Macaca fascicularis: one gene and its partners. The protein of the gene in region 2 purifies or fractionates together with the protein of the main gene of each other region. This does not show direct contact. Links are inferred from orthologs where the notes say so. Each region holds a gene or a part of one and is shown on either strand. Other genes may lie near its edges.

What was found.
Region 1: the proteins of TICAM1 (region 2) and RIPK1 purify together in Homo sapiens (affinity purification with western blotting; 4 studies listed by BioGRID). This does not show direct contact. The link is inferred for Macaca fascicularis from reciprocal best matches to the Homo sapiens genes TICAM1 and RIPK1.
Region 3: the proteins of TICAM1 (region 2) and TLR4 purify together in Homo sapiens (affinity purification with western blotting; 3 studies listed by BioGRID). This does not show direct contact. The link is inferred for Macaca fascicularis from reciprocal best matches to the Homo sapiens genes TICAM1 and TLR4.

The regions. Positions count from the first base shown.
Region 1 is NC_088378.1:169,982,126-169,985,773, reverse strand, and holds part of RIPK1 (receptor-interacting serine/threonine-protein kinase 1), read left to right. Parts: intron 1-835; coding exon 836-973; intron 974-2,391; exon of another isoform or gene 2,392-2,505; intron 2,506-2,928; coding exon 2,929-3,157; intron 3,158-3,648. UniProt on the Homo sapiens protein: Serine-threonine kinase which is a key regulator of TNF-mediated apoptosis, necroptosis and inflammatory pathways.
Region 2 is NC_088393.1:5,599,798-5,604,005, forward strand, and holds the start of TICAM1 (TIR domain-containing adapter molecule 1), read right to left. Parts: upstream 2,855-4,208; 5' UTR 2,740-2,854; intron 1-2,739.
Region 3 is NC_088389.1:40,361,708-40,365,888, forward strand, and holds the start of TLR4 (toll-like receptor 4), read right to left. Parts: upstream 2,825-4,181; 5' UTR 2,694-2,824; coding exon 2,601-2,693; intron 1-2,600.

The DNA of each region.
Region 1 (3,648 bases), on a different chromosome or scaffold from region 2:
TAAATATGGTTTGAGGGATAGACTTGGAATCTCACTTTTGTCATTAAAATTTTTTTCCTGTTAACCAACAACCAAAATACATATAAATTTTTAGGAAACATCTTGTTTGTATACTGATTTTTTGTTGTGAAGCAAAACTATTTTAACCACTATAATAGAAACTGGAATTGTTTGTTAATATTGATGTTCATATAATAAGAATACAATTATAGGAACCAGTGACCTGAGACTCTACAAAAGCCTGAAGTATCTGCTACCAGGTCATCAAATAGATATTAATTCACTGAAGCGTTGTCGTTTTAACATCATGTTTATCTCAGATTTTTCTATGATTGTAATCAGTGTGAACATGTTCCCTTGTATTCTTTTTTCTCTTAATGTTATTTTACATGTGACATTTCCATGGCATTGTTCATGTCCTTAATGTAAACTTAGTATGACATCGTATGAGTATCCCATAGAAAATGCTTGCTTATATATTTATTCATCCATTCATTCAGCAAGCATTCCAGGTATAATCCTAGGTTCTAAAGATACAGTCCTAAATAATATATATTTTTGTTCTCAAGGAGCTTAATTTTATAGTATTTTATACATTACCAAATTATTGTGGGATTTTTGTTTTTACACTAACAAAATACAACATGAATACCTTTTGCCCTCCAAGAATGAAATCTTTCTTGTTTTCCAGTGACAGCAGTGCTGTGGTGCGTCTGCTGGAAGGAAACCTGTAACCCTCTCCTCAGGCTCAGATCCCACCACCCTTTCATGAAACAGTTGCTTTGGCCTATTTGATTACCTTTCCATTTCATAGACTTAATGTCACTTGTTTTAGATGAGTACCCCGCTTTCTGTAAAAGGAAGGATAATTGTGGAAATCATTGAAGGGATGTGCTACTTACATGGAAAAGGCGTGATACACAAGGACCTGAAGCCTGAAAATATCCTTGTTGATGATGACTTCCACATTAAGGTAAACCATCATCTGTAGGCTTCCAGAAAGTTGGGTGATTTTAGTTTTAATTCTCCAATGTAAACCCATTCTTGTAAACTGGAGAAGCTAAAGGAAGACCTAGCTCAGCTTATAACTGGTGATGATGGTGCTGAAGGGCTCTACCAGCGATTGAAAGGAAAGACGCAGGCTTGATGGGATCAGGAGATAACTGTCAGGATAACTCATATCTTTTGGGGAGGAGTGGAATTGAGTGGGGGAGATGAGAAGTCCTCTTTCCTAGATTGTGTTTTTCTCCTCTGTTAGAAACATTCAAAAGTTGCCCTTTACATCCTGGAATGGGCCATTGGTGCCATAATGTGTCACCAAGACTCCCCTCCTCTGGAAATGCAGGGGAATGAGGGTGCGTGCAGAAAATCTTTAGAGTTCAGATATGGCCTAAGAGTGAGATCAGCGGCCGGGTGCGGTGGCTCATGCCTGTAATCCCAGCACTTTGGGAGGCTGAGGTGAGCAGATCACCTGAGGTTGGGAGTTCAAGACCAGCCTGACCAATATGGAGAAACCCCATCTCTACTAAAAATACAAAATCAGCCAGGCGTGGTAGCGCATGCCTGTAATTCCAGCTGCTTGGGAGGCTGAGGCAGGAGAATCACCTGAAGCCGGGAGGCGGAGGTTGTGGTGAGCCGAGATTGTGCCATTGCACTCTAGCCTGGGCCACAAGAGCAAAACTCTGCCTCTAAGAAAAAAAAAAAGAGATCAGCAGTGCATCAAAAACTTCTACTTTGAAATTTTGTTTTATATTTTTATTTGATTATTTGCTTCTGTGTTTTAAAAAATCAGTTTCCTTTGAACACGTTCTTTCCATTGTCATAAAGGGAACAAGGGAAAGGGGTTTTTCTTTTGTTCATTCAAGGGCAGGATTTAGCTAGCGGGGAGTGTCATATCTAATTGGCTTTCGCAGCAGGAATCCAAGCACAAGCATCCAAAAGGGGAAGCAGCCCTGGGGGAGGCAGCCCTGGGGGAGGCAGCCCTGGGGGAGGCAGCCCTGGGGGAGGCACTCAGGAGCTGCTGACACAGGGGCCTCTCTCCACCAGCAGGTTCTACGTCTAGTGCTTTGTCCTAGTCTTGGACAGGCCTTTAAAAAAAGGCCTGGGAATAAAAATTCCTCCTTCATAACCTATCTTCAAATTCGTGACTTCCCTCTTATGTCGTGGGTTAGAATCTGTGGATTTTAGGTAATCATGTGCCACAGTTCATCCCCACATGCTCGCTTGGATTCCTGCAGGCAGAAGTGGAACTGGCACCTGTGTTCTCTTCTTCACTGCACTGCTCTGTCATTTTGCCCTGCCAACTCTGTTCTTGTTCTGCGTCTGACCTTGGTATTTTTCTCTCTGCTTTTTGTCTGTTTTTCTCCTCCTTCCCACCCCTTCTTCTCTTAGGTTCAGGCTACAGCTCAAAACAAGCAACACTGCAGTCCTTATCCTCAGCGTGTCTTTGGGATCCTTGGACACTCGCATCCATGGGCCTCTGGACGCCATTTGGGGAAATAGAAGGTGTAGTACTTAGCCACTGTCTGCTACATAAATGTGCAGAGAAGAAAATAACCATTTTCCCCCAAGCCCCAGAAATAGTTGAAAAACATATGCAGAGTCAATGGGGAATTAGAACAAATATATTTGGTTGTTACTATTCTTGTCAGAAACCTCTTCTGCTTTTCCCCTCCCCCTTATTGCATAAGGAATGCGATACCAGAATTTCATGTAACGTTTCCTGCGGGGAGATTTTACAAATGGCTGAGGAGACACACAGTTTCTATGAGTCTGTTGAGAAGTCGCCATTTTGAACCTGCCCAGTGAAACCGTTTCAGGAAAATTTACCATACCTTATGTATACTGGACAAGCCCTAGATTTAAAGTCAGATCTGATTTGCTTATGGCCTTCACCAAATAATCCCCGTGGCTCGATGTCTTTCGCAGATCGCAGACCTCGGCCTTGCTTCCTTTAAGATGTGGAGCAAACTGAGTAAAGAAGAGCACAATGAGCTGAAGGAAGTGGACGGCACCTCTAAGAAGAACGGCGGCACCCTCTACTACATGGCGCCCGAGCACCTGAACGACGTCAACGCAAAGCCCACGGAGAAGTCAGATGTGTACAGCTTTGCCGTCGTACTTTGGGCGATATTTGCAAATAAGGAGCCATATGAAAGTAAGGCATTAGAGGAGTGGGGTTTGATATGAACCAACACTGCCATATGAAGTAATGGGCTTCAGTGAAATCAGTTAAGGTTTATAATTGTTTATTCTTTTAATGTCAGTCTTGCTTGCTAAACTGTGAGTTCCGTGAGGGCAAGGACCATATCTGATTTATCCTCTGCTGTCTCCTCAGCATCTACACTCACTGTGCCTGGAACTAATAGGTGCCCAGTAAATTTTTGTTGAATGAATGAGTAATCCCATTTAGGAATCAGTGATCATAGGATGAATAGGACTCTTGATAACGTGTCATTAGCTTGAGAGATGCTGTAAAATTCCAGGGTTCTTCCTAGACAGGAAAGTTGATTGTTTCTGCTTGTGAGGACTTAGTCTTTCACACTACAAGGCATACACTTCATACTTTCACTCATTCACTTACTCCTTCATTCAAGAATTCTTTCTTTTCAGTCCCTACTGTGGGCACTTTAGTCGGCACCGGGAATA
Region 2 (4,208 bases):
CTGACCTCAGACAATCTGCTCACCTCAGCCTTCCAAAGTGCTGGGATTACAGGCGTAAGCCACGGCACCCAGCTAATTTTTGTAATTTTAGTAGAGACAGGGTTTCAGGCCATCGACCAGGCTGGTCTCGAACTCCTGACCCCAATTGATCTGCCCGCCTTGGCCTCCCAGAGTGTTCAGATTACAGGCATGAGCCACTGCGCCCAGCCCGTATAGGACTCTTAAAGCAGTGCCTGGCACATGTGTGCTCCATGAACATTAGCATGCAAGACTGAAACCTCCTGGCAAGGACTCAGGGGAGTTTTGCAGAAAACACAACAAAGCCAGTCAGACTTAGAATCATCAAGGCAGGACCACCCCCACCTGTATGCCTGGCAAATCTCTAAAATCACGTGGTCTTTCTTCTCCTTCTCTCTGCCCATGGGCCTGAACTCAACCCTATTTCATTGACTGCCCCAGCTTCCCCTGCCCGCCTCCCCTGCCCGCTGCCACCTCCACCTTCTGGAGACCTGGAGAGTTTCATTTCTCACTGTCCATGGCTGGGACAAAGTCCACTCCTCACTCTGAAGAGCAGGCGCCTGGCGGGACAAAAACACCCACAGGGTAGGGGCGTTCTGGCTCTGCCACCTGCCGGCTTGTGCAGTCTGTTTCTCAGCCTCCGTTTCCTCATTTATAACACCCACATGAACTGGTACTTAGGATGAATGGGAGTCTGTTTTGAAACTTCAATGCAAAAATATGGTTAAAAAGTTTACATCAGTGCCCAGGAAGAAGCAAGAGCTTGATATAATAATGTTAGTGTGACAATAAATGTTGACAGACTTTTTCTCTTCCTCTTCCTTTTTTAAAAAAATTTTGATTTTTAATTTCATTTCTTTCTTTCTTTCTTTCTTTTTTTTTTTTTTGAGACAGAGTCTCGCTGTGTCACCCAGGCTGGAGTGCAGTGGCACGGTCTCGGCTCACGGCAACCTCCGCCTCTTGGGTTCAAGCAGTTCTCCTGCCTCATCCTCCTGAGTGGCTGGGATTACGGCACGCGCCACCACGCCCGGCTAATTTTTGTATTTTTAGTAGAGACGGGGTTTCACCATGTTGGCCAGGCTGGTCTCAAACTCCTGACCTCAGGTGATCTGCCTGGGATTACAGGTATGAGCCACTGTGCCCAGCCCCCATTTCATTTTTTTTTTTTTAGAGACAGGGTCTCACTCTGTCACCCAGGCTGGAGTGCAGTGGTGGGGTCACGGCTCACTGCAGCCTTGAACTCCTGGGCTCAAGCAATCCTCCGACCTCAGCCTCCTGAGTAGCTGGGACTACAGGTGTGTGGCACAACACCTGGCTAATTTTTGTCTTTTTGGTAGAGACAGGGTCTCACCTATGTTACCCAGGCTCCAGGGCTCAAGCAATCCTCCTGCCTCAGCCTCCCAAAGTGTTGGGATTATAGGCATAAACACTGCACCTGGCTAACTTTCTTTTTGAATTTTTTTGTAGAAATGGAGTCTTGCTATGTTGCCCAGGCTTGTCTTGAACCCCTGGGCTCAAGCGATCCTCCCACCTCGTCCTTTTTAAATGTTTTAACTGCATCTGAAACGTGCTCTTCTCTCCCACTCTTCCTCCCACACTGTCATACAGTCTTTCATGCGTTGCGTATGCATTTATTGAGCATCTACTAGGTCCAGGAACTGTTCAAAGTGCCACTGCATATCAAGGCAAGCACATCCGCTCTCACAGAGCTCCTAGTCTGGTTCAGGGAGACCAACAGTAAGTGGGAAAATAACCCAAGATCATTTCAGAGAATGAAAAGTACTGTGAAAGCCATGAGCTGGGGGCTGTGTGGCTCTGAGAGACTGGCTGGGAAGGGGCTACAGGGGACCATGGTGGTCAAGGGAGGCCTTTGGGGACAGGAGGTGACATTGAGCTGAGACCTGAACGAGCTGAGGGAGGAGGCTGGGTGGAGATCAGGGAGGAAAGCTCTCGGAAGGTGAAGCCACCTGCCCAAAGGCCCTGGGGCAGGATTGCGCCTGGCTAGCTGGAGGAACAGTGAGGAAACCCATGTGACTGGATAACCGTTAGGAGGGGGAGAAAGGAAGAAGGTGTGGGGTGGTATAGGGTGTGAGGTTGGGATCCTGGGTCTCAGGGAAGAATTCGGGGTGTCAGGAAGGAATTTGGGATGTTGGGGAGGGATCCTGGGTGTCAGGGAGGAATCTGGGGTATTGGGGAGGGATCCTGGGTATTGGGGAAGAATCCAGGGTGTCAGAGAGGGATCCTTGGTGTCACAGAGGAATTTGGGGTGTCTGGGAGGAATCTGGGGTATTGGGGAAGGATCCTGCACGTCAGGGAGGAATTTTGGGTGTCAGGGAGAAATTCAGGGTGTTGAAATATCGGGTGTCAGGTAGGAAGCTTGGGGCTCAGGAATTTGGGGTGAGGAGGAATATGGGGTTTCAGGTAGGCATCCTGGGTGTTGGGGAGGAATCTGGGGTTTGGGGGAGGGGTCAGGCTGTAGGGGAGGAAACCCGGGTGCTGGGGAGGATCCCGACAGTGGGGGAGGATCTGGGCCACCAGCGAGGAGAGCTGGAGGTTGAGGGGAACGTCAACCTCCCAACGCGCGGCGCCAGGCCTCCCCGGGGCCCTAAGAGGGAGGCCAGGTGGCCTGGAGTCCTGGCGAGCGGCGCGGGCGCAGGGCCACCCTCCACACCCCCGACACTTTCTCCACCTCTGGCCAGTCCTCGCCGCTTCCCCACCTACCAGGGATCCGGGGCTGCCGGCTGCGCCACTGGGTCCTAGGGTCCTGGGGTCCTGGGGTCCTGGGGGCCGGGACTTCTGCGGAGGTTCCCGCAGACCTCAGCGCGCTGAGGGCGCTGGCTCCACCCCGCGGCTCCCGCCCTTGGAAGGAAACGCACCGCCCCTTCCGCGTCCTGGGTGGGTGTGGGACGTGAGGTCACGGTTTCGGAGTCCTGCCCCGCAGCACCGGGAAAGTCCCCGGGGCGCCCCGCACCTGTGCCCTCTCTTCCCAGCCCTTGCGGTCACGTTCAGCAAGTGTGAGCACCTACTGTGTGCAGGGGGCCAGAAGAACTCGCATCTGCCCTGGGGAGCCCACAGTCATCTGGGCTGGGGGCCCAGATGAGAAAGTAATCACAATTGGAAAGTAGGATCATCTCCGTTAGCGATAGGTGCTTTCCAGGAAATAAATGCAGCAGCTGTTTTTTTTTTATTTATTTTATTTTATTTTATTTTTATTTTATTTTATTTTACTTTACTTTATTTTACATTTTATTTTATTTTACATTTTATTTTATTTTATTTTATTTTATTTTATTTTATTTTATTTTATTTTTCCCCGAGACGGAGTTTCGCTTTTGTTGCCCAGACTGGAGTGCAGTGGTGCGATCTCAGCTCACTGCAACCTCCGCCTTCCCGGGTTCAGGCGATTCTCCTGCCTCAGCTTCCCGAGTAGCTGGGACTACAGGTGACATGTGCCACCACGCCTGGCTAATTTTGTATTTTTAGTAGAGACGGGGTTTCTCCATGTTGGTCAGGGTGGTCTCGAACTCCTGACCTCAAGTGACCCACTCACCTCGGTCTCCCAAAATGCTGGGATTACAGGTGTGAGCTTCCATGCCCGGGTCCCCCCAACTTTTTTTTTTTTGAGATGGAGTCTTACTCTGTGGCTCAGGCTGGAGTGCAGTGGTGCGACCTCGGCTCACTGCAATTTTCTTGCCTAAGCCTCCTGAGTAGCTGGGATTACAGGCACGTGCTGCCACATCCGGCTCATTTTTGTATTTTTAGTTGAGACGGGGTTTTACCATGTTGGCCAGGCTGGTCTCGAACTCTTGACCTCAGATGATGGGTCCACATCAGCCTCCCAAAGTGCTGGGATTACAGGCGTGAGCCACCACGCCCGGCCTAATTTTATTATAATAATTATTCTTATTATTATAGGGGTCTCCCTATCTTGCCCAGGCTGCTCTTAAACTTCCAGGCTCAAGCAATCCTCCCATCTCAGCCTCTCAAAGTGCTGGGATTACAGGTGTGAGCCACCGCACCCGGCCTATAACATTATTTTTATCACCACGATAAATAAGATCTAATAATCACAGTGATTTTGCAGTGGTGACAAGTGTCAGTTGTGTTTCTGGTTGCAATGCAATCTGAAAGTATCTGTGGCTTTTATTAGGGACAAAGGGACAAAGTCCCAGGTCCTGCGGCTGTCTTCA
Region 3 (4,181 bases), on a different chromosome or scaffold from region 2:
GGCACTCTTTCTTTGCCCTCTTTTATTCCCTTTCACAGGATGCACCACCATCTAACATTATGTTGTCTATGTGATTGTTGCCATCGGATTGTTCATCTCCTGTACTCCATTGCAAGTTTCAGTGGGTTTGCCCACTGCTTTGTCTCCGGCACTCAGAATGGTGTCTGGCAAATGGTTGATGCTCAATAAATATTTGCTGAATCAATAACTGATTGAATAACTGATTAAATGAAGGTTTACTTAAGTCCACATTGTAGACATTTTCTGCCAAGCGCTGTGGGCATTACAAAGAAAAATACGATGTGGCTCCAGACTTCAATGGACTCACAGTCTAGAGTAAGAGTTTAGATGGGAGCAAAGCTAATACTGTCTCAAGGGGCCGTAAAATAGGCTTAGAAAATTTGTCCTGTGGTTCAGAGAAAGCAGAGATCGAGTCCGTATTCAGGAAAGGCTTCCCAGAAAAGGAAGATTTTAAAGTGGGTCTCGGAAGATGAGTAAGGTTTAGATATGTGGAAAGGGGAAGAAAAAACATGTCGTAAGGAGAGGACAACATGAGCATGGAAAGAGTGGAAAACAAACTTAGATTAGCTGGTGAGTGGTAGGAGTGGTGAAACCTAAGTAAGAGGGCAAACCAGATCAGGAGGGCCTCAGACTTTGTCCTGCAGCAATTATTTCAATCATTTATCACATATAAATTTAGTGGCTACTGTGTGCTGACCACTGGAAATATAGTGGTCCTTGCCAATTCCGTTACAAAGGAAGAGAGAGAAAATAAACAAACAAAAATATAAAATGTTGTGCTCCAGAAAAAAAAAAATAAAGCAATAAAAGGGAATTTGAGGCAAATAAGTGAGGCTGGAGAGCTCTACATGGGGCAATCAAGGAAGACTGCCCTGAGGAGGGGACATGTAAGCAGAAATCTGAATGGAGTGATTAAACCATGAAAATGACCAGGGCTGCACTGACCAATACGGTAGTCACTTGCCATACACAGTTATTAAACACAAGAAACGTGAATAGTCTAAATTGAGATGCATGGTAAATGTAAAATATATACTAAATTCCAGATTTAGTACCAAACAAGCAATGTAAAATATCAGTAATAGGTAAATATATATTAAAATTTTAAACATTATTTTAAATATGTTAAGTTAAATAAAAATATTAAATTCACTTGTTTCTTTTTTTAATGAGGCTACTAAAAACTTTAAAAGTACATATGTGGTTCACATAATATTGCCATTGGATAGCACTGATCTAGCATTCTAGGTAGAAGAAATAGCCAGTGCAAAGGCCTTGTGGTAGAAACCTGTCCTAATGGCAATGGAGAGTTATCAAAAGTTTTTAAGGAGATAATTTGTTAGATCAAAGCTTAAGGAAAAATAATAACAACAAATGCAAATACATAACAAACAAGAACGTGCAGAATGAATTAAAGGAAGAAGACTGGAATCAGGAAAGCAGTCACTGTGTAAGAGTCAACGCCAGGGGAAATGAGGGCCTGCCGTACAGTGGCAAGAAGGGGATGGGCAGGTATGGACAGGCTTCAGGGACTTACAGGAAATCGTACATGGGGAAAAGAAGAAGTCAAGGTTGGCTGTGGTTTTATCTCGCAGTGAGCCTAATTAGAAAATCTATCTCCACTAACCTAACAGCAGAGGGATACAGAGAAGAAGACAAGGAGGAGGACTATGGGCGGGGAATTGAGGGAAGGGATGGCTTTGAGATAATGAATTAGTCTTTGCTAAATATTACTTGATTTTCTCCCATATCCTCAACTTCAGGACTGCAGCTGGCTTTGCCTCTCTTGAGTTTCTGACCCTGCCTCACTGTAAATCATTTTCTTAGCTGTTCGGCTCTACTATGGGTTTCTAAAGCAACTGTGAAGTCTGTGCAGGGGAAAAACAAAAAAGATCCATCATGAATAAGATTATCAACCAGCTGATTGGTATTTCACCAAGAAACAAACTGTTGCAATAGCTGATATTATACATATTTCCCTCTTGCTTTTTTCTTCTCTCTCTCTCCTTTCCTTTTTCATTCTCTTATTTTTTTCATCCTCTGGACTAAACTATATGACTGCATACAGAAATCTGACACCCACTTAGAAAGTTCTTTCTGTAGAGACACACACACAAAAGCCATCTTCTTCCTGAGATTGACAGGAGCAGGGGGACTGCCTGAAGCTGAGTGTAAAGACCACCGGTGGGAAGAAATGACACTGAAGCAGTCTGTTTATTCTCTGGTGAAGAAGGTATTATAATTCTCTTATAGATGCGAAAGCTAGTCTCAGACAGGTTTGATAATTTTTTCACGCAGCCACAAGGTAGCAGAGCAGGGACCTTACGCAGATCTACGTAACCTAATGCACTCAAAATCTCCAAATGGAACAAACCTGTTAGCACTCAAAATCTCCAAATGGAACAAACCCCCATTGGCTGCCTTTAGTGCCCTTTAACAATGAATTACTTGATCTCTGTGGCTTCTTGAGTCTTTAAGGTAATTTAACTCTTTTTTTGCAAAAATAAACCAGGGCACACAGTGAGAAGCTCTGGGCAGAAGTGAGGGAGAGTTCAGAGGCGCTGACTCCAGCCACATACCTCCACGCAGGGCTCCCAGCTTTCTGGTCTCACGCAGGAGAGGAAGGCCATGGCTGGGATCAGAGTCCCAGCCAGGCGCAAGGCAGACGTCATCCTGGCATCATCCTCACTGCTTCTGTGAGCGACAGTGGCCCTGTGAACGCGTGGCTCGCTCACCGTTTCACCGTTTCACCGGGCAGTTTCTGAGGCACTGGTGTCTTCTCTTCCTCAAGCCGGTGCCCCACAGCAATTGGTACATTCAAAGCAGTTCTGGGCTACAGGGTGAGAGGAAGTGAAAGTTGCAACCTTAGCATTCTGGACTTTTGTTTGTCTAATAGTTATCTCTTTTGTCACAGGAGAGGAAGTTAGAAGGAGAAGAAGAAAACGCCTGCAGACCAGTGGCTAAAGAAACAGCAAGAGGAAGCTAGTTGGCTTTTATCCCAGGAAGTCATCTGACCTCTGTCTGGGCTTGGCGAATTTAGGAAAACCATCAGATACTGTTAAAATAGCCCTTGCAACTCTCTAGGATGATGGTGATTTTCCAGTTTTGTTTCAGCTGTGGAAACACTATTTGTATTAGTTTGCTGGGGCTGCCATAATGAATTACTACAGACTGGGTGGCTTAAACCACAGAGATTTATTTTCTCACAATTCTAGAGGCTTCCAGTCTGAACTCAAGATGTCAGCAACTGTGTCTAAATTCTAATCTCCCCTTCTTATAAGGACACCAGTTATGTTGGATGAGGGCCCACCATAATGACCTCATTCTACCTTACATACCTCTTTCAAGGCTTTCTCTCCATATATGGTCATAATCTGAGGCAGGGGGTTTAGGACCTCAATATATAAGTTTTTGCAAGGATGCAATTTGGTCCACCTCTTCTTGTGAAGAAACTCACATATAAAACTGAAAATAAAGCTCCAGTGAAACACTGAAAAGTACAAGAAGATTGGGAAAAGTCTGGGACTTCAGAATTGAATATACTGAAGTTCAGATCTCAGCTGGGTGACTCATGGCCTCGAGGCATTGGTCAAGTCACGTAAACTACTAAGTTTTACTTTCTTTCTTTTTTTCCCCCCATTTTCCTTGTTATGGTAAAATCACATAACATAACATGACATGACATAACATAACATAAAATGTATTACCTTGACCATTTGTATGCGTACAATTCTGTGGCATTAATTACGTTCATATTTTTGTACAATCACCACTATTCATTAAGCAATAACTCCCCATTTCTCCTTTCCCTAGCCCCTGGAAACTACGCACTGCTTTTTGTCTCTATAATTTTGACTACCCTAGGTATCTCTTAGAAGTGGAATCATACAGTATGTGTTTTTTTTGTAACTGGTTTATTTCACTTTGCATAATGTCTTCAAGGTTCATTTCTGTGTAGTATAGATCAAAGCATCCTTCCTTTTTAAAGCTGAGCAATATTCCATTATATGTACATACTACATTTTGCTTATCCATTTGTCTGTTCATGGACACTTGCATTGTTGCCACACATTAGCTATTGTGAATAATGCTGCTATGAACATGGTTGTACAAAATATCTCTTAAAGTCCCTGCTTTCAGTTCTTCTGGATATGTACTCA